Linked DNA regions of Saccharomyces cerevisiae S288C. The gene in region 1 interacts genetically with each later gene. Each region holds a gene or a part of one and is shown in the gene's direction. Other genes may lie near its edges. The genes, in order: YFT2 and YHR210C.

What was found.
Region 2: mutations in YFT2 (region 1) and YHR210C together harm fitness more than expected from each alone (negative genetic interaction), as found in Saccharomyces cerevisiae (one large-scale study listed by BioGRID).

What each region holds. Positions count from the first base shown.
Region 1 is NC_001136.10:1,104,312-1,107,674, reverse strand, and holds YFT2 (Yft2p), read left to right. Parts: upstream 1-1,847; coding exon 1,848-2,672; downstream 2,673-3,363. Other genes in the region: auxilin-like protein SWA2, read left to right, coding at 1-1,580; MCM21 (Mcm21p), read right to left, coding at 2,728-3,363. UniProt on the Saccharomyces cerevisiae protein: Fatty acyl-coenzyme A (CoA) diphosphatase that hydrolyzes fatty acyl-CoA to yield acyl-4'-phosphopantetheine and adenosine 3',5'-bisphosphate. Preferentially hydrolyzes unsaturated long-chain acyl-CoA substrates in the endoplasmic reticulum (ER) lumen.
Region 2 is NC_001140.6:520,162-523,953, reverse strand, and holds YHR210C (aldose 1-epimerase superfamily protein), read left to right. Parts: upstream 1-2,216; coding exon 2,217-3,242; downstream 3,243-3,792. Other genes in the region: CRG1 (S-adenosylmethionine-dependent methyltransferase), read right to left, coding at 3,642-3,792.

The sequences.
Region 1 (3,363 bases):
AGGATATGGAAATAGCAAGATTGATGTCTCTAGGTTTATCAATTGAAGAAGCCACTGAGTTTTACGAAAATGACGTAACTTATGAAAGATATTTGGAGATTTTAAAGTCAAAGCAAAAGGAGCGCAACGATCTAGCTATAAGAAAGAAAGAAAGTGGTATAAAAATGGAAAAGTCAGGATTATCCAACATTGTTGGTACAGATAGCAATAATTTATTCAGCATGGCCACTGATTTTTTCAATAAGGGTAAGAAACTGGTAGACCAATGGACCTCCTTCCCACCTGAGGCAAATGATAGACTGAATAATTACTCAAAAACTCATGATAAGGTTGAGGATTATGATTTGCCTCAAGTAAACGACTCACCCAATAGAATTTTGTTTGAAGATAATGAAGTCGTAGAGAACTTACCACCTGCCGATAATCCGGATCAAGATCTTTTAACTGATTTCGAAACAAAGATTGATATAACAAAGAGGACAGCGCCTGATGTCTCCCACTCCTCCTCACCGACTTCTGGTATACTAATTGAAGAAAATTCGCGAAGAAATGAGCCCCTGATAGAGGATAGTCTTCTCGACTTTTCAGAAGGAAATCTCACCAATAGTAAAAGCAATGAAGATAGCACCCTCTTCAATGAAAACAGCAACACTGACTCTACAATACCCATCTCAGATATTGAATTATCGGGGTATAACGAATTTAAGGCGAAAGGTACTAGTTTGTTCAAGAACGGGGATTATATTAACTCATTACAAGAATATGAAAAGTCTTTAAATACATTGCCTTTAAATCATCCATTGAGGATCATTGCATTATCAAACATTATTGCCTCGCAACTGAAAATCGGTGAGTACTCTAAGTCCATAGAAAACTCCAGCATGGCTTTGGAATTATTCCCATCAAGCAAAGCTAAGTGGAAGAATAAAATCTCAAATAGTGACCCTGAAAGATCATTTAACGACATCTGGCCAAAGATTATGATTAGGCGTGCTGAGTCTTTTGAACATTTAGAAAGTTTCAAAAAAGCACTAGAAACATACCAAGAGCTGATTAAGAAGAATTTTTTTGATGATAAAATCATGCAGGGAAAAAGAAGATGCCAAGACTTTATTAATCCTCCCCCTGTTAAAAAATCCATGCCCGTTAAGAAGAAGACAACGACAACCTCGCCTGCAACAAAAAAACAGAACTTAACCGCTTCTTCTTCAAATTCTCCAATTTCTGTTGATAGCACTTCAGAAATAAAAAAACGGGAGCTAGAAAACGCTAAACTGGCGCTATATGATAAAGTATTTGAGAAAATTAGCTCCTGGAAGGATGGCAAAGACGATGACATTCGTCATCTGTTAGCAAATTTATCCAGCTTACTAACATGGTGCAATTGGAAGGATGTCTCTATGCAAGATTTGGTTATGCCTAAGAGGGTCAAAATTACATACATGAAAGCTGTAGCCAAGACACATCCTGATAAGATACCAGAGTCCTTGTCCCTGGAAAATAAGATGATTGCAGAGAATATTTTCAGTACTTTAAGTATTGCTTGGGATAAGTTCAAACTGCAGAATGACATTAACTGATTTCCCTTGTGTGCCTGCTTCGCTCAGTTGTTTTTGATATGTACTTTATACAAATATATATAGGAAAACAAATTCTTCAAAGCGCGTTAGGAAAAAGTATGGAAAGGCTTAGTTTCATTTATTGACTTACAAGTGGCACCCAATTTGATTAATATGAAAAACAATCTGCAAAAAAAAAAAAAAAATTCAAAATATCACAATGTTAAAACACAATAGAAATAGGGCATTGTATTAAAACCACTGAACGACTAAAAATTGAAAAAGATTATGATACGTCAGCTCAATTATTGGTCAAGGAAGGCGTATCTCATTTACCCCTTTCAAGTTTTTGTAGGCGCATTATTATCAATAGTAGTATCTTCAGAAACATTAAACCATCAAAAAGAGACATGCGCTCTATTGAAATCGTCCAATATTTTCAATGTTATTTTTGCATACAAAGCGAACCAACTGTGGCCATTTTTATTCTTTAGTTTGGCTTTTCTGCAAATATACTTCCACTATCTAGCAAGAATGGATATATTGCCTTTACCAATATCAAGTACCGAAACTAGCTCTTCCTATTTAACATATACTAACCATTGGCCTCTGCTCAAAAATAGAATAATCAGTATTATGATCACTCAATATGCTTGCAAGTTCGTTCTAAAATATCTATTATTGTTTTTGAATTTCCAATTTATCGATCATGTTTTCATTTGGACAGGGGGAGAATGCAGTTCTGGTAGTAAAACGACATCAGCTGAAAAGTGCCGTCTAGAAAATGGGAAATGGGATGGTGGGTTTGACATTAGTGGACACTTCTGCTTTCTTGTGAGTATAAGCATGATTCTTTGGATGGAACTTCACTTATTCAGTAGATTTGTTCAAGCTGAAGATATGTTTTGGGTTGTGAATAAGTGGGTACGAGCTTGCCTTGCCATTGTTTGCGCTGTCCTAGTAATTTGGATATGTATTCTCTGGGTTACCGCTATTTATTATCATACTATCTTGGAAAAAGTGTTAGGTTGCCTTATGGGTTTCATATGCCCTGTTTTCATATACCACATTCTACCCAAAATTGGGATACTACACAATTACTTATATCTATGATAAACAGAGAAAATTAGCTCTATCCTCTTTCTATAAAGTATATTTTTGTTAACATTCACTTGAATATTGTCGCGAAAGAATGGTTTAATTTTAATTCCAAATCATCCAAAGAACCGAGCAATGCAATTTCCCATTTACTTTTATTATTTTGACTAAAATCATGAATATCGTCCAATATTGAACATGAAACTATTTCATTTTGTTTTACAAACAACTCGACTTTAATATCCTTCACAAAAAACGAAACCATTGAAGATTCTAAATCTAAATCTAAGTCGTGGATTATCTTCTTAGCTTCTAAGTCCTTAAAAATCTGTCGTCTTTTCTGTACTTCCACAAGTTGCAGGAAGACTCTTTTAGCAAATAAATAGGCGTCATCATGAGATATCACTAGTCCCCCATTGGTGTCATCAAATATACCTTGGACATCAATGAAACTCGGGATTGTATGCTTGAACAGGAACCAACTATTCGATTTGATCCTCTTTTTCAACAATACATAGTGAGGTTTTTCAAATTGGGATGTCCGTTCGCTGAAGACTTCCAGTCGTATTCCCAGCATTTCTCTATCAACAAATATTTCACCGCTAGCATCTTTTATCTTAAGGTCAATAGGGTCCACAAGAGGGAAAAATGTTATACCAAACATTCTATAAACATTTTCCAGGACAATATAATCTTCCAACTCACT
Region 2 (3,792 bases), on another chromosome or scaffold:
GCTATGAACGTCGGGAAATTTTTCACTTGTGAAGTCTTAGAATGTGTAATCATGTAACTGAGGTTTCTGACGACTAGTAGCATATTTGAACTCTATTAGGATTAACACGAAGTTCTAATGATTTTTCTTTCTCGGAGTTAAAAGGAAACCCGAACGTTTGTTGCCTCTAGATTTTTTCCATATATTTTCCATATGTTCACTTTTAGCAATCGCCTTTGCTTGTCTGATTTAGTTGAAAACAACAGCATTTGATATTCATGAAAGTCTATTAAAGGAAGAAAGTAAAGAAACTTTCTTCGCCTGTTTTCTTCCTAGAATACTGTTATACCAATAGAAATTGAAGGTTTGGGAGAACTTTTGAGAAACTTTTTTAAATTTCAAGACCTGTGCTTTGAACGTGTCTCATTTCTGCGTACAATGCCAAAGTTGGAAGGTTTTCTTGCGTATGGTTCTAGTTCTTTGCCAAATTATTGATTTCAATCACGCTTTAAAGTTTTTTCTGGGTTTTCTCCACATAGGATAGTGACAAGAAGTGCGGTAGCCATGTGGTTTATTGCAGATCACAGTATGAAGGACCTTCAACTTACCTTATTTACTTATTAACAGGAAATTAAGCGTCATAAAAAACTACAGCGGTGATAGGAGCTGTGAAAGGATCCATATTGCTATCGTGAGTGAAAACGAAGACAACCTGAAAATAAGTATTTTTCCGCCGTTCTTCAACGATGTATTTAGATATCAGTCGATATTAACGTATAGGAGGAGGATCGATTATCGTGAAGATAGAAAATAATGACCGAAGAAGATTCCCTGGTAGCGCACACTTCAAACTAAGGGTTGGTCTCCGGTAAATATCAAGATTTGTACATTTGGCTAAGTGCTGGAACCCATGCAATTGATCTTATTGTGATGATTTGATGATATTCCTCCGTCAGAAAGTCCTAGAACACAACCTCTGGATGAAAACAGAAAAGAAAAATATGCAAGATGTTCAAGTGCGCGCGGAGCAAAAAAAAAAAGGAACAGAATACTAAAAGAATACGTCGCGAATCTCGTTATTGACAAGGCATGTTTGGATGAAAACATGTAATGCCCCATTCAGCTTATTTTTCAACATTTTCAGAGTAACACGCAGAAGAAGACTTTGTTTTTCCAAAACCTCCTTTTGCACTCAAAAAGAATGCCAGTTCAGCATGGCATATTGGAGATTATTTTTCATAAAACTGTAAGAATTGTAAAGCAAAACTGGTGCACTGCTACATCAACTCTTATCTTCTTGCATATAAATTTAAATGAAAAGGAACTACTTTGTAATTATCGATATTACATTGAAACCTATGAGGAAGATTATGACATGATAACACTAAACTATTGCTGGCCAGCACCCGAACCGAGTGTCCAAATTGAGTTTTGAATCAGTTTTCAGCTCAGAACAGATTCCCCTTTTCCTTTATTAGGTCGTATCATCATTCTATGTGCAACTACTGCAGCATTTGCGTATAATTATGGAAATAAAATTATACGAAAGTTGATACTTGGTTGTAAATGGCCTAAGAATCGGAAAAAATGGAATTCTATTGGCATGCTATCTTGTTTAATGAGATTATGAAGTTGAATATCATTTCTGCGTTTTGCATTCAAACAATATCATTTCAAAGGCCTATCGCTGTGAGCAATACGCTGGATTTGCTCATCGCACAGTAAGCCTGCACTACCCCACCAAATTACAAGAATATAGTAGAGATCAGAAGCTTATGAGAAGTCACTTCCAAAATTCGCGTTGTCCAACATCCTTGGAATAATTTTTCCTCCTTATGCATCCAGGTGATTGACACTTTTTGACGGGATAAATGCAGGTGGAGGTGGGGGAGGGGTAAAGTTTCGTAAAGAGTGTCAGGTCGCATATCTTTGCACTGCGCAGAAATTCTCGCAGAAAATTACGCTACGGAGAAATTCTCGGGCACTAATATCGTACAAAAATTAGGTTTGTTACGTGATAATATGGCCTTGTACCTGTTAAGTTTTTCCGACAATTAGTTACTAGCTGAATATCTTAAAAAAAGGTAAAAGTAACTCCTCCATGGTTTGGTTATTCATGCGTAAACACCTTGGATGCTCTGAGATATAAAATCAGAATGTACTACGAAGTACTGGAACTCAATTGTACATTATGTTACTGCAATAAGTAAATTCACCTAAAAAGCCAAAAAGTGATAATGTCAAATAATAAGGCTGGCGGTGAATATGAAGTCATCACTATTGGTGATGCAAAAAAGCTTCAAGCAACAATTTCAGAGCTTGGCGCTACTTTGCTTGACTTGAAAGTGAACAACGAATCGATTGTTCTAGGATACCCTGATATTCATGGCTATATATCAGATGGCTACAACTACATTGGTGCTACTGTTGGCCGTTATGCAAATCGTATTTACAAGGGCATGTTCAGTATGGAAGATGGACCTCATCAGTTGACAGTGAACAATTGTGGAAACACCAACCACAGTAGCATCAGCTCCTTCCATCTCAAGAAGTATAAGGCATCCAAAGTCCAAAATCCTCTTGATGACCTTTACATTGTTGAATTTACGTTATTGGATGACCGCACACTGCCCAATGAATTTCCGGGAGATCTAGCTGTAAACTTAAAGTACACATTGAACGTTGCTGACATGACCTTGGACTTGGAATACGAGGCAAAACTGGTCAGCGGTGAGGCTACTCCCATCAACATGACGAATCACACGTACTTCAATTTAAACAAAACTATGGATAAAAAATCCATTAGCGGTACGGAGGTTAGGCTCTGCTCAGATAAATCATTGGAAGTAAGCGAAGGAGCACTAATTCCAACCGGTAAAATCGTTCAAAGAAAAATTGCTACTTTTGACTCCTCCAAACCTACCATTCTGCAGGATGATGGCCCGATTTATGACTACGCTTTCATTGTTGATGAAAATAAGAATTTGAAAACGACAGACTCAGTAAGTGTAAACAAGCTCGTCCCTGCCTTCAAGGCTTATCATCCGGCATCACGACTTTCATTGGAGGTTTCAACAACAGAACCAACTGTCCTATTTTACACAGGTGACAACTTGTGTGATGGATTTACGCCGAGATCTGGCTTTGCCGTTGAACAAGGCAGATATGTTGACGCAATCAACCGTGATGGATGGAGAGACTGCGTTCTTTTGAGACGTGGTGAGGTATATACTTCTAAGACTCGATATCGTTTTGCGGTGTAGGCACCAAATTTAGTTGTTTACTTTGCACTGTCGCATTATTTTTCTATAAATTGAGCTTTTTATAATGAGATATGATCCGGAAACAGCTTTCTGAAGTGCATATGTTATAGTTAATATTAAGAATTTTTTGAGACTTTATTATGTTACCATGATTGCATTATCTTTTAATGTTAACAGTAACAAGTTTACGTATCGCTTTAAAACATAATTACATTCAGAGGTCGGAATTTAGAGCCAATAAAATTTTTAGAGCATATGTTGACGGTTTTAAATTACTCCCAACTGCGCAACAACACCTTATTTTCTTTTTGCCATATTTTAATATTTATTAGCATTTGGGAAATATTTAAAAAAAGAAAAAAATCAGCTTTTTATATATTTCTTTTAATTTAGTAAACCTCATTCTCTTTTCCTACATAAGTAATAAAACGTTGACCACTCTATTTTTAAAGGTACATTCAAATCTTCACAATGACAGATTTCTTTGAGCTCGTTAATGAATATATCGGCAATATCCGGTTTCGAGGGATTATCTCTAGCCCAAGAAGTG